2 linked regions of the Notamacropus eugenii genome follow. The protein of the gene in region 1 interacts with the protein of each later gene in a pairwise test. Links are inferred from orthologs where the notes say so. Each region holds a gene or a part of one and is shown on either strand. Other genes may lie near its edges.

The links.
Region 2: the proteins of RNF5 (region 1) and YIPF2 interact in binary tests that used the Homo sapiens proteins (3 or more experiments, as listed by UniProt). The two-hybrid records come from large-scale screens. The link is inferred for Notamacropus eugenii from reciprocal best matches to the Homo sapiens genes RNF5 and YIPF2.

The regions. Positions count from the first base shown.
Region 1 is NC_092873.1:85,920,903-85,928,075, reverse strand, and holds the start of RNF5 (E3 ubiquitin-protein ligase RNF5), read right to left. Parts: upstream 3,013-7,173; 5' UTR 2,956-3,012; intron 2,909-2,955; exon of another isoform or gene 2,709-2,908; 5' UTR 2,662-2,708; coding exon of another isoform or gene 2,609-2,661; 5' UTR 2,556-2,608; coding exon 2,416-2,555; intron 1-2,415. Other genes in the region: AGPAT1 (1-acyl-sn-glycerol-3-phosphate acyltransferase alpha), read left to right, coding at 3,741-3,810. UniProt on the Homo sapiens protein: Membrane-bound E3 ubiquitin-protein ligase that mediates ubiquitination of target proteins. May function together with E2 ubiquitin-conjugating enzymes UBE2D1/UBCH5A and UBE2D2/UBC4.
Region 2 is NC_092875.1:79,086,474-79,094,081, reverse strand, and holds the start of YIPF2 (protein YIPF2), read right to left. Parts: upstream 3,008-7,608; 5' UTR 2,878-3,007; intron 2,861-2,877; exon of another isoform or gene 2,775-2,860; intron 2,693-2,774; 5' UTR 2,657-2,692; coding exon 2,626-2,656; intron 1,970-2,625; coding exon 1,824-1,969; intron 1,742-1,823; coding exon 1,661-1,741; intron 1,223-1,660; coding exon 1,135-1,222; intron 997-1,134; coding exon 880-996; intron 746-879; coding exon 579-745; intron 503-578; coding exon 320-502; intron 234-319; coding exon 129-233; 3' UTR 121-128; intron 1-120. Other genes in the region: TIMM29 (mitochondrial import inner membrane translocase subunit Tim29), read left to right, coding at 3,132-3,240, 3,320-4,044.

The DNA.
Region 1 (7,173 bases):
CACTTCACATCAAACTGATCTCTCAAAGTGACATTAAAAAATGCAATAGCTCAGTTACACTAAGTAAGCCCAGGGTACCTATCTCCTCCCTTGACTTCAGAGACACCACACACCCCTGATTTTCCTCCTACCTCTAATAATGCCTTCTTTGTCTTCTTTGCTGGCTCCTCTTCCCAACCCTTCAAGGTAAATTCTGTTCTTGGCCCTCTTCTCTCACCTTTGGCAATTTTAATCACTCATGGCTTAAGCTATCACCTCTACAAGACCGATCCCCAAATCCATATCTCCAGCCCTGGTATCTCTTCCTTAACTATATCTACAACTACACAAATAGCTCTGCATCTGCCTATCAGACCAAAATTTCCAATTCAATGATTTTTAGTTAAATCTAAGTTCATTTATGTAGCAGAAACAGATTTAAAGTCAAAGGAATCAGGTTTGAATCTGTGCTGGCCTGTTTTCTGTGAAACTCTGCGCAAGACATTTGACTTAACTGTATCTGTTTCCTTATCAGTAAAACGAGACTTGAACTAAATGATTTCTAAGGTCCTTTCAGCTGTAAATCCCATGATCCTATCTTCCCCCCCAAACCTGTAGATTTCACTAAATCTGTCAATGTCATTCATACAGTCTCCCGTATTCAAAATTAGAATTCCTTTTTATCACCTGTCATATCCAATCAGTAAACAAGTGCTACTGACTTTTACATCTATACCTTTTCTTTCAACAATGCCCTCCTCTTTATTGCCATTACTTCCCTCAATACAGATTGTTCTCCCACTTCCAGCCATCTATCCTCCTACTACTACAGACCAGTCTTCTACTGGTCACTACTCTGCTCAAAAATTTTTAGTGGCTCCCTAAAACCTCTGCCTGGAATTCAAGGATTTCTACAGTTTGGAAACAACCTATCTTTCCAATCTAATCTCACTGCATTACCTTCTGTGTACTCTAGTCTCCAGCAAAACTAGACTGCTAGCTATCACAGCTCTACATATTTGCTCACCCTATCCCATAGGCCTCTAAGTTCAACTACTGGAATGACTACTTATTTTTAAAACCCAACACCCGCCTTCACTTACTGTCACCCTCCAGCAATAACACATTCACATAGCACTTTGTTTTGAACTTCTCATGCACTCTTCATATATAATTTGTATATTATTTCATATAATATCCGCATGCATGTCATATCCCCCTGGAAGCTCCATGAAATCAGGAACCATGTCTTTTCTAAACTTTGTATCTCCCCCAACACCTACCTACTAACATGTTACTCTGAACATTGTGGATATTTAATAATTATTTATTCAGTTGTTATCCCTCCTTATTAATATAGATTAGTTGTGCATCCCAGGTGTGTCATTTTTTTCCCCATTCCCCTCCACTGGAGTACAGGTGTGTATATGTCTGTATTCTCAGCTATCAAAGCAAAGATATGTGATCCCAAGCTGTCAACAGCTCTACTAGTATGTGCGTATGTGTGTGTGTATACACACACATATATACATATATATGTATACATATAAAGTTGTCAGTAAAACATATGTATGTGTGAATGTCCCAGGGCACTGGGAAATGTCTGTGGGTGTGTATGCATTTCCTGATGCTGTCAGCATTATTTAGACAGGGATGCAGCTAGGAGTAGGATATATCTCTTAGAATATGTATTTCATATATATATATGTATATAGAGAGAGCAAGAGAGATACACACATACATACATATATCACACACCAGTATAAAAGTGTGTGTGTGTTTTCATGATATTCTCACCAGTGAAGATATAAGATTTGTAGGTGGGTATCCTGGGGCTGTTGACAGTACAGGTAGGACTCTGGGTGGGAATATCCTGAGGTTCTCATCAGTACTAATACAGTACTAAAACATATGTGTCTGTCTCCTGGAGCTCTCACATCAGTACCAGGAAGAATGTGTGTTGTGGATGTGCTGCAATCCCGTGTCAACATAAGACTAATGACAGTGTGGCCAGTACATATTAGAGGAGTATATATGCCTGTCTCCTAAGGCTCTCTCCATTAGGAATATGTGTGTGTATGTATTTATATATGTAGTGTGTGTGTGTATGTGTGTGGGCATATGTATCCCAGAATGGGTGTATATTGGGAATGGGGTGGGGGTAGTTTCTGGGGTCCAAGAGAGGCTGAGAGCTATGCACGTGTCCCAGAGTTCTCTCCAGTAAAGAGGTGAGTGTGTGGGAGGGTATGGGAGAGAGGAGTGTTCCGGGGCCCTCACTAGTACAGGGGTAGAGAGTGTGTACCTGAGTGTGTGTGTCTGTGTGTGAGGGTGCGTGTCCCGGGGCTCTGGTGGAGGTATGAGTACATGTCCCGGGGTTCTCACCACTACGGTGGGAGTGGGGGTGTGGGGTGTGGGGGTGTGTCCCGGGGCTCTCACCAGTACAGGTGGCCGCACATACTGACCACCGCCTCCCGCGCTGTCTCCAGACAGATGTTACACTCGAAGGCCGCACCTGCCCCTCCCCGGTCGCGGTTTGGCCCTTCGGAGCCCCCGTCCTCCTTCCTGGCCGCTGCCATGGCCCCTCAACTGTTGCCCCCGCAACCCAGGTCTTCCCCCACGAAACACATACACAAGCCCCGATGGTCCGAAAAGCCCGCCCCCCTGCTCGCGCCCATTGGTCATCCGTCAAGGTCTTCGAGACTCCATTGGTGATCCTGCCCACCAGTCACCTAGGGTTCGGAAGGAAAGGATTGGACGACAGTCTGGGGAGGGAGAGGCACGTATTGCCCCGCCCTTGAACAGTGATTATTGGCCAAGGTAGTCGCCAGTCAAGAGGCTGCGTCATAGGATTAGCCGTAAAACGCGCCCTGGCAGACCCCATTGTCCGCGGTGAAGGAGGGTCCACCCTGTCATCACCATTATTTGTCCCCCATTGCTAAGTGTCGTGCTGAACTGGCTCCAGGACGTAGATTCTACCTACTAATAACCTATCCAACTTCCGCCCCCGTCCTTTCTTCACTTCCTCTTCTCTTGAAAAGGATCCTCCTCGAGATCCTATTGGACTAGGAACGCGCAAGTTCCGAAGCAGCCGGTTGGCTAGGAGATGGTCGCAAGCGCGCACGTGAGGGATAGGACGGACCTATCCGGAGGAGGCTTTGCTTCTCGGGACCCGCCCCTTCCTCGCCGTCTTCTTGTCGCTATAGCTCCCGGATCGCAATTGGTCCTGACTTGGCCACCACCCTAGCCTTAAGTTCCTTCCCCCCTCGTCCCTTGCACCCAACCCTCGAATTTGATTGGTTACTCTAGACCTCGAAGATTAGGATTGGGAGCAAAGAGACATATGCTAGTCACCGGGTTCAAAATGGCTTCCGCCGTTTCGGTGACGTAAGAAACCGAATCTGAGTTCGCCCGGCGCCCTTTACAAAGATGTCGGGCCAGGAGAAGGGCGATTGGCCCCATGTCCGTGACGTCACAGATCCATCTCCTGGCTTATAACCCCCTTCCCTCCCCACCCCCATCCCACGAGCGCACACGCACTCGGTCCCCTTTAGTCTTAGCCGACCCACGGAGCGGAACTCGACTCTCCAGGTTCCTTTCTTCGATGACGCACAGAGCAGAAATGAATTTCGCTCCAGTTCAACTTGTGTGCTGCCGTGGAAAAAGAGAGCCGAATTTGGAGTGAGAGAACCTGGGTTCAAACCCTAGCCCAGGCTCTGACTGTTTGGGTGAGCCCAGGAGTCACTGGACTTCCCCCAGATCCAATGTCGTCGTCAGCTGTGGAAAGAGGGGCTGGACGGTCTTGTCTCCATCATGCTTTGGATGATCTCCAAGGTCCTGTCTAGTTGCGATACTCTTACTGTTTCTGCCATGATCTGCAGGGCTAGAATTAGACCCGCCCCTTCCTCCCTGTGACCTACCAAGCAGAACTGGGGTCTTCTTCCTGGGCAGGGTGCCCTTCCCCTACCTGCTCCGGCTCAGCGTGGCCCAGGTGCCTGGTGCAGGCAGCCAGGCTTGGGCAAGTGAGTCTCCCTCCTCCTTGTGGCCCAAGCACAGCAACCTGGTAATAGCCCACCCTTTCTCCCCCTGCTCTCACCCATCCCATCTCCAGTCTCTCTCCTCCAACCCTGGCTTGAAGGCGTAGCCAGTGAGAGACTTAGGTTAATTGTGTGTGTGTGTGTTGGGGGGGGGTGTTGGAGGGATGGAGAGGGAGAGGCAGTAGAGAAGCTTGTGATCTCCACCCAGCTGTTGTCTCCCTAGGCATCAGTTTCCTTGGGTCTTTGTAAAATGAGGGTAGGTGGTCTCCAAGGCTGCCTCCAGCTCCGACATTCTATGTTCTATGGTTCTATGGGAGAGAGGACACAGACCAGACAGGGGCCCTCAGAGGGAAACCAAGACAGCTGGGGGCAAGAATCCAGGAGAACCACAACATCTGGAGGGAACTGGAAAGTAAAAAGAAAGCAGGAAAGGGCTATCCCCAAGTTGATGGAGCTGGTTAGTTGAAGGTAGGGCTCTTATCAGAGAGGGAGAAAACAGGGCCAGGAGACACATCAAGGAAAAGAAGGGAAGGTGGTGGCAGTGTTTTTTGAAAGAGATAGAAAGGAGAGTTGAGTGAAAGGGATGAGGCTGAGGCAGTAGAGGAGTGCCAAGTGGGATGAAATAAGTGTGGGAAGCCAGGGCTAGGGATGTAGTTGAGCTTCCAGAAAACAAGTGTTAGAAACTGGGAATGACAACCTTAAGGAGTTAGTGTCGGCTCCCCATTCCACCCCAAGCTGCATGGTCTGCCCATAGAAGGAAGGAATAATGGTGACCTGATCTCAGTGGTGGAGAAAGCATATACAATTCATCTTTGGGATGACAGGGCAGCCTGGCTAAAGAAGAGAGACCCTGTGGGAAAGGTGCTAGGAAGGGAAGAGAGAAGAGAATTGGGGAATTAAGAAAAGGAGGAGGTCGGCAAGGAAGGTAGAAGGATCAGAGAAGAGGGCAAGATGAAGGAAGGGGAGGACCTGGCTAGTGTTCTGAGAGACCATAGTGAGATAATGGGGAGTAGGGAAGAGGTCAGCCACGAGACAGGGAAAAGATTAGGAGGCACAAAGAGAGATAAGGATGGGAGAGGCCAAGATGAAGTTGAAAGGGCGAGGCAGCTAATAAAAAAGGATGATGAGTAGTGAGAAGCAGAGGAATGGAAGAATTGGGAAAGAGAAAAGGGAGCCTAAAGGACAGAGAGAAGAAAGCTGAGAGAAGTGGAAGGAGGGAGATAGAAGAGCAGGGAAAGCCGGGAAGGACTGGAACCAGAGCCAGAAAAAAAACAGGTTATGAAAGATAGACAGCTGGAAGGAGTAAGGCAGAAGCCTCAGCAGGAGGAGCTAGCAGGAAAAAGATGAGGCAGGGAGGGCTAAAAGCTGGAGGGAGGGAATGCTTGGGTCCCTGTCCAGGCTATTGGCAAGACAGCCCGCCTGTCACCACCCCCCACTTCCTGGCCGGCCCCGGAAACAAGCAGGCGTTGGTGGGGAGGGGGGGGCGGCAGCAGCAGCAGCTTCGGCAGCCCCAGCCCTCCGAGAGAGAGACAGCAGTAAGGGAGGGAGGGAGAGAGCGGGGAACACCCCCCCTCCCACCATTCTCACCACTATGGGTCCGGCCCCCCACTCCCACAGCCCCTCCACCAGCCGGGGCTAGGACACCCCCAAACCCTGAGGGCCCCCTGGCACCGACTCCCCACCAGAGACAGAGACACAGCCGCCACCACCGCTGCCGCAGCCTGGCTGGGGAGGGGGCCGGCCCCCTAGGCCCCCTACCCCACTGAGGTGGGGGAGGGATGGAACTGGGGAAGGGGGGTGAGAGATGGGTCGGGGGAGGAGGGAGCTGGGAGGTCATGGAGGTGGAGAATGGGGTCTGGGGAGAGAGAGTGTAAGGTAGACTTGGGAGAGGAGCCGCTGGGAAAGATGGAGAGAATCCAGACAGAGAGAAAAGGGATGGAGGAGGGAGGGGCTGAGGCCTGGTGAGTGGGGGGCTGGCCTAATTAAGGGGATAGTGATGGGGATAGTGATGGGGTGAGTGAGGATGAGGAGTACTGGTGAGGGGAGAGAGGAATTCGCTACACCCCACCCCCAGTTCCTCTTTCTGCCCCTTGTATCTCTTGGAAGGAGTGTAGATTATAAACTACATTCCTGACTCCTCCTCCAAGAGAATATTGGTTGCTAGGATCATACCAGGACACCCCTCTATTTCCATGCACAGAGCCTAAGGTCTCTACATATCCTGTGTGCATGTTAGGCCCTTCCTGACACACGTGTGTCTTGTGTGTTACCTTGTTTTCTCCATTGAGTGTGCATGCTTTAGACAGTGGGCTGTGTTGGTTGAATATGTTCCCATATGATCCATGGTCATGGCAAATGTCCTCACATTAGCTGGATGTTGTATCCATTCCCCTTTGGGAAGGCTGGCTATAGTGCAATATGGCCTGTCCCTTGTGTCATATCCATTTGGAGTATAATGTACATACCCTACGCATCTGTATGTTCAAATGTTGCCTACTTTCTCAGATCTTTCTGTTGCATATTAGTTGTGTGTTTCTGTTCATGTGCTTTGCCAGTGATCGTCACTGCCAAGGTAGTTGTCTTCACATGTTCTGTTTGTACGCTGTGCCTATGGTGTTTTGTTTTGGTTCATTTGCTGAATCTGTGATTCTTGTCCCTTGGGGTTGCCTTCAGGTAGCTGATTCCATGATTTTATTTATTCTTAACACAGATCTTCATGGTGTATTAATCCACTTTACTGCATGTGTTTTGCTAAGGAAGTCCTAGCATTGCTTGAGCACTTATGTCTTATGTTCTACTGGCATTGCATTTCTGTTCATATAACATCTATTTCACCATTTCCTTCCTGTAATGTTTTATAAATCACATGTTTATGTAACACATCTGGCAATCTCATATGGTTGGATATCCTCTGGATATCCTTAGATATGTGTGTTCCTGAGGAAATCACATATACATAGCCCCTGTAGAGGGTAACGGACCTCCAGACACACAGAAAACCCATAGCATTTGCATATATATTTGCATGTCCTTCCTATGTTTGGCCTGGCCCATATGTCTATGTAACATCCATAGTACCGCTATATTTTGTCACTGTGTACTCATATGACATGTGAATGAGTACATGTGTTACAGGCTCTCATCTATGTCCATGTTTTTA
Region 2 (7,608 bases), on another chromosome or scaffold:
CTATTAAAAGGGGTGTGAAGCTAGTCTCTCAAGGAGTCACCTGTGAAACTTCTGTCCCTCCCCTGGGGGGGGTTTGCTTTGTGACCACATCTCTCCTTAGATGATGATTATTCTGCTTACCTCTTCTCCTAGGAGGCTGCAGAAGTCTTGGAGGAGCCAGGTGGTGTGACCTGGTGGAGTGGGGCTTGGGTCACAGGAACGGACCTTGAAGGCAGGAACTGGAAAAAATATAACTAAAGCAAGAAGTCTTGAGTCAGTGCTGAGGCTACAGGCCATTCCAGCCTGCCAGTTCCTCTATACCCTAGACAGCTGGTGCTACCTTGCAGCCGATGGCCAGGAGGCCGTGGAGGGCAACCATGACTGTAAGCAGCACAGCTGATACCACCTTGGTGTCTGAACGGACGAGAGGCCAGAAGGTGAGCAGGAGCATAGCCCCTGAAAGTGACACAGCCGTGACCCCAAGAAACCACTGAAGCCCCGAGATAGGGATCAGCCATAAGACCTGAGAGGGAGAGAGAGAGGCTATAGACTTCTGTCAGTATCTAATACCCCCAGCCCAGCCCCCAAGCCACCCTCACCACAGTCGGGATGTAGATGAAGAGGGAATATCCGTAGACACACACAATCTCCAGAAAGGTGTAGCAGCTCATGTGTTCCCTGACCCCCTTGCGCCACTGCAGAAAGCCCCATAGTGCCGTTGGTACCAGCCATGCGTAGCAGTAAATGGTGATCCCTGCAACAGTAACTGGGAGAGAAAACCCAAACCGTACCTGCTAAAGGCCAAGTAGCCCTCTAGTGCCCTGCAAGGGCCCCAGAACAGGCCCCAGAACAGGCCCCAGAACAGGCAGGTCTGCTGCATCCTTGAGCAGGCTTGCTCACCTTTATGAAACTGTGGGCTATAAGAAAAGGAAGAGTCTCTCCAGTTCTGCAGCAGGGTGGCCAGGTTGCTGCTCACAGCTAGTGTAAAGGCCAGTGTGGCACATATCCAGAAAGGCCCTAGGGAAGGAGTGGAAATAAAGTGCAGAATGTACATTAGATCCCTGAGAACTGCACCTCCCCAGCCCAGACAGAAATAGATCTGTACCCTGCCTCTAATTTCAAATCCTTTAGTTAGTGGAATTAAAACAGCTTTACCATATAGGTCTGGATGATGTCGAAGACGGTGTCTCACAAAGTTCTGGCTAGGAATTGGCAGCACTGAACTTCTGATCCTCTCCAGCACCTAGGATGGAAAAAAAGCACCCACCCACCCACCCACCAAAATCAGAACACTTAAGTGCCTATTAACATGTAGGGAGGTCATTGCTAGTACAAGGATGAATAGAAGTCCCTGCCTTTGAGGAATTTCATCAGAGGGGATCTATGTATACAAATAAGCACAGTATGAAGCCATAGCCTATCATGATAAGGACAAAAGGTGCATCCAGAAAGAGAATGTGTGCGTGTGGGGGGGATGTTGGGAAGGATCATTTTCAGCTATGTGGATCAGGAAAAGGAGCAGGGAAAAGAAGGTGGCACCTTCAGTACAAGCCTGTTGGGGGTAAGTGCACAAATACCAGCGGGCTTGATCAAAACAAATAAGCCTTTATGTTCTCCAGAAGCCAGTAAGGAGGGGCCTTCACTTTCCCACCTTAAGTGTGAACTAGCCTCAGGCCTTCACCTGATGGGTATCCACATCAAAGAAAGACTGGTGGTAGCTGAAGGTCCAGAAGTTTGGAGGTTGTTTCTCACCCCCAAGCAACTATAAGAGAAATGGTCAAAGGTGTGTCCTCTGAAGGCTCCCAGCTGGGTAACATAGAATTTCCAGGAAGGCCTAAACTCACCTGAGTCTGATCATTCTCTTCCAATTCTCCATCTTCTTGGTCCTCCATGTCCACAGCCAGGCTCACATGGCTCTGCAGTTCCCCAAGACTGGAGACGGTAGTAGCCCCTGGTGTCTCAGCCAGCAAGTCAGCAGCCATCTCAAATTCTGTAGATGTGACCAGTCCCATCCAGGCGACCCCTCCCCCCAAACTAAGAGCTGGCCATTGGTAGACCACCCTTCAGGTGCCCAAATTCTAGACCTCCATTCACCATGCCAGCCAGCCATTAATCTGTCCTTCCAGTTCAGATATGGAGTTGGGGATGAAGAGGAAGCCTGCCTGACAGTGCTGGGCGGGGGTAGGATGGGGAAGGTCCATGCAGGACAAGAGCATCAGCTAGGTAGCAAAGTGGACAAATCGCTAAGACCGGAGTCAGGAAGACCTGATTTCATATTTTGCCCCTAACACTTACTAGCTGTCACCCTGGGCAAGTCACTTAACCTGTTTGCCTCAGCACCTACCTTCCAAGGTTCAGAGAACCAAATGAAATATTTTTAATTAAAATACTTGGTACGGTGCCTGGACGTAGAAGGTGCTATAGAAATGTTAACTACTATCACTAGGAATAACCTCAGGTCTGGGTTCCAAGACGGGGCTGGGGAAGGGAAGGTCAAGGACAAAAGGTCCCTTGCGGGGGCAGGAAAGACGGGGATCTCTGAGGGAAGAGAATAGGGGTCTGGAATGCCTGGGGAGGGTCAGGGAGAGAAGACGGGTCCGGCGTTTGGATGGTCGGGGGAGGAGGGGTTGGGAGCTGTTCACTCACCGTGGAAGGTGAGCTCTTGGGGCGCAGCCATGGCCGGCGCTCTCACCACATCTCCAGCCTTGCGCCCCTGCGGAGACAGGTCGGGGGGTCAGGCAGCAAAGCCCCTCCCCCGGATCTAAAGCCTCGGGAGCCCGGCTTACTCAACCCACCCCTCCAGCTGTCGGCCAGCTGCGTGGAACGCCTCCTCTACGCCTGCGCCAGCTGGATCCGGGTCGAGCCCACTTAGTCCGAGGCAGGGGAGACAAGGCTTACCGCTTGCCCTGCCTGTCCTCCTCCGCGTGGTGGCGCTGCTTGTGGACGTCCAGATGGTACAGCCGGGTGCCGGGATGCTAACACTCTTGTCACCTTCCCCCGCCGCCCCCTTCTACACGTGAGCGCTTCCCTTATTCCCCTCCGGTGGGGAATCGTTTCCGGTAGCGCCTTGGCTCGAACCCGGTGACGCTGCAGTGTCGCGGCGAGGGGAATGTTTCCTTCCGGACCGTGGGGAAGTACGGAGCAGGAAGACGATGGTGGCCGCCGTACTGTGGAGGAGAGTGTACTCTAGCGGCGCCGCCGCCGGAGCGGGAGCGGGCCCCGGCGGGGGCGTAGCCAAGCGGCGCGTGTGGGAGCGGCTGGGTGAGTAGGGCCGGGACCGGGGGGAGGCCGGGGCCGGGGGGCCGACGTCCCGGGCGCTCACGCCGCCTCTCGCCCGCAGGCTCGTGGGTTCGCGGGCTCCTGCACGACTACGCCGAGGCGTGCGCGGACGCGGCGGCGGCGGCGCGGGAGCGGCCCGTGCGGGCGGCGCTGTACGCGGGGCTGCTGGGCGGGGCGGCCGCCTGCGCCCTTCGCACCCCGGAGGAGGCGTCCTTCGAGGAGGCGCTGCTGGACGCGTCCGGGACCCTGCTGCTTCTGGCGCCCGCCACCCGCAACCCCGGCTCGGAGGCGCACGTGCAGCGGCTGCTGTGGCTGCGGGGCCGGGGCCGGCTGCGCCACGTCCACCTGGGCCTGTGCTCGCTGCTCTACGAGGCGCCCTACGACCCCGAGGCCAGCCTGTACCAGGCGCGCTGCCCGCACCTGCAGCCCCGCTGGGCCGACTTCCCGGGCCGCGTGCTGGACGTGGGCTTCCTGGGCCGCTGGTGGGTGCTGAGCGCCAAGATGCGCGACTGCGACGTCAACGACGACGAGTTCCGCCACCTGCCGCCGCACCTGCGCACGCTGTCCGAGGACCAGCTGCGCTCCGAGGTCAACGAGTGGCTCTTCAGCCAGAAGTACCTGCCGGCCGTGCTCACGGAGGACCAGGTGGACCAGGCCCTGTGGGAGGAGCAGGTCCTGCAGAAGGAGAAGAAGGAGCGGCTGCTGCTGAGCGAGGCCGGCCCCGAGGGCGTGCCGCGCGCGGGGCTGAGCGCCGAGTGGCCGAGGGAGGGAGCTTCGGTGAAATAAACTGGTTTTTCCTCTCTTCTCTCTTTCCCATCTTTTTTTCCCTTAAACGAGTTGGTACAGTTTGGTGCACCAGGTAAGTGGAGTTGCTTTGGTTGTCCTTAGGGACAATCCAGGTTCTCTGGCCCCTTTCTTACCAGTCAGTTTGGAGGAAACCAGCTGCCGCAGGAAGATGGTCAGACGCAGAGCTCTGTATCTTCCTCCTCCCCGCCACTGCCTCCGACCCTCTTCAGGGTCTTCATTGTCATCAAGGCTACCAGCACCCTCCCAGTCGCTCAGACTTGTCCTCCCCTCCCCCCCCAAGCCAGTCATTTGCTCAGACCTCTTGCCTTCTTAACCTTTATATGTCTCCTCTTCCCTGAGGCCACTGCCACCAGGTAGAACAGATTATCACCTCAGGACCTGACTGCTGCCCCAAGTGTATCCCGACTTCAGTCAGTTCTCTACTCAGCTGTCACTTGGATCTGTAAGTACAGATCTGACACTGTGTCTCTCACTTACTCTCACACACGCTCCTCCCTTGCAGTAAACTCCTTTGGAGTCTTCGCTTCAAGGAACAATATTATAATTCATTGTTTGGCTTCTAAAGTCTTTCATAATTTGGCCCCGTCCTACCTCTTCTTATACCGGTGCTTGGAGCTCTCCTCACTCTCTACATCTCCTGGTTTCTCTGACTTCCTTCAGGTTCCCCGTTGTCTCCTCCATTAGACTGAGTTCCTTGACAATAAAGGCTGTTTCTTGCCTTTCTTTGTATTTCCAGCCTTAGCACAGGGGTGGGGAACCTGCGGCCTCTAGGTCCTCAACTGCAGCCCTTTGAATCCAAATTTCACAGAACAGTTCCTTTTATTAAAGGGCTGCATTTGAGGACCTAGAGGGCCACATGCCACTTGGAAGGGCACAGGTTACCCACCGCTGTCCTAGCACATAATAAGTGCTTAACACATACCTGTTGACCAACTCCTCACAAGTTATGTTGAGCTGGTGTTCAGTCAGCCAGTCAAGAAGCATTTATCTTTACTATTTGATAAGCGGGACTGTGCCCAGATGCTGGGAATACCATGAATGGCAGAAGACAGGTTCTGTTTTCAAGGAGCTTATGGTCTACTGCGGGGAGATAACTTGCAAATGACTATGTAAAAACAAAATGTATGCAATGTAAAGGAAGTGATTTCTTAACTAACGGTTAATGGAAATAATGACAAATGGAAGTGGTGGTTAAGCACCGGGTGGAGGCAGACCGAGAAGGGTCTCCTGCAGAAGGTAAGATTTGAACTGAGCCTTGAAGGAATCTAGAAAGCAGAGATAAGCATCCCAAGAAAAAGACTTTTTAATTCCTCAGGTATGATCTTAGGCAAACTATCTGGTTTCCCAGGGTTTCAACAGTGAAGGGGTTATATACTACATGATCTCTGAGTACTCTTCCAGATTTCAGCTCTCTGCACAACACTAGAAGCAAGAACTTAACCCCCTGAGTACACCATTATCTTTTGAGATAATCTCTTTCAAAGACAGATAGTGCTAACATTTATTCTGACTGTTTATGCATTTTCTTGACCTTTCCCAGGAGTCATTATATGCCTCTACTTTTAAGTACCATCACTATTTTCCTTCTGTTTTAACTAGAAATCCCAGCAGAGGGTAGTAGAGATTCAGGGAAAATCAGTTGTACCTAGGGTTACTTTACCATGGAAGCTAATTACTTCTTAATGGTGTGTCTTTATGGAGCCATTGCTACTGCTACCACCTGCTGGGAAGTTGAGCTGGCTTAGAGTGGGGTCTGCCCTGGGAGTCGAATGGGAATTTAGGTGAAGTGAGAACTATTTATACAAAGTAAACATAAAGTGGTTCTAGAAGGAAGGCTTTAGATAGCAAGGGGCATTTGAAGGGAGCTAGGGTTCCGGATATGGGGGGAATAGTCTAAGCAAAGATGGGAGATAGGAATAGAATTTTGTGTAAAGAACAGAAACTAGGCCAGTTTGACTATAATGTAAAATCAGCCTGGAAAGGTCATTTGAAACGAGTCAGTGAAGGGCTCTGAAGAACCTGTCCTCGAAGCAGCAGGGAGGCACTGGAACTTTTTGAGCAGGAGAATGATGTAGTCAAAGCTGTGCTTTAGTAATATTACTTAGTATTTATCTAGGGGGCAGTTGGAAAAGCAATCAGCCTGTCTGACTGTACCTTTGTACTATACCTTTGTCAGAGTTGTCTCTATGTCATCTTCCTTGAATGGATGAAAAGTATTTTTTTAAATTAAATTATTTTGTTTTCAGTGTTCAACATTCACTTCCATGTGTCTTAGATTTTTTTCTCTCCCTTTTCCCCCTTCCCTCTCCACTCCCTCCCTGAGATGGGCGTACAATCTTTTTTTTTTAATTAAATTATTTTATTGGTTTTCAGCATTCGACAGTCACTTCCATATATCTTGCATTTTTCCTCCCTCCCTTCCCACTCTCTACCTGAGGTGGCATACAGTCTTATTTGTAAGTCCTACACATACTTTTCTATTCAATACATGTTGCATAGAAGAATTAAAATGAATGGGAAAAACCATAAAATAAAATGAAACAAAAACATAATACAAAAGTAAATGGTCTGTTTCTATCTGTGATCCAATTTCATAGTTCTTTCTCTGGATTTGGAAGGTGTTTTGCCTCGAGTCCATTGGAAATTTTTTAAGTCCTTGCATTGCAATGAAGTTCGAAGTCTACCACAAAAGTTCCTCATACACTGTGGTTGTTGCTGTGTACAAAGTTCTCCTGGTTCTGCTCCTTTCACTCAGCATCAGTTCATGTAAGTCTTTCCAGGCCTCTCTGAAGTCTTCCTGTTCATCATTTCTTATAGCACTATAGTATTCCCTTACATTCATATACCACAACTTTTTTAGTCATTCCCCAGTTGATGGGCCTCCCCTTGATTTCCAGTTTTTGGCTAGAAAAAGAGCTGCTATAAATATTTTTGAATATGTGGGACCCTTTCCCATATCTATGATATCTTTGGGAGAGAGTCCCAGAAGCAATATTGCTTGCTGTGTCAAAGGGTATGCACATTTTTGTAGCCCTTTGGGCATAGTTCCAAATTGTTCTCCAGAATGGCTGGATCAGCTCACAGCTCTACCAACAACGAATTAGTGTTCCAACTCTCCCACATCTTCTCCAGCATTTATCATCTTGCTGTTTTGTCATGTCTGCCAATCTGACAGGTGTGATGTACCTCAGAGTTGTTTTGATTTGCATCTCTCTAGTCACTAATGATTTAGAGCGTTTTTTCATATGATTATCGATAACTTTAATTTCTTCCTCTGAAAACTCCCTGTTCATGTCCTTTGACCATTTATCAGTTGGGGAATGACTTGTATTCTTGTACATTTGACTCAGTTTTCTATATATTTTAGAAATAAGGCCTTTGTCACAGATACTAGTTGCAAAAATTCTTTCCCACTTTTCTGCTTCCCTTGAAAAGCATTTATTATGCACTTATTAGGTGTCAAGTATTGTGTTCAGCACTGGGAATGTAAATGCCAAGATAGCCCCTGTTCTCTGGGAGCTTGTATTCTAATGGGCAACACTA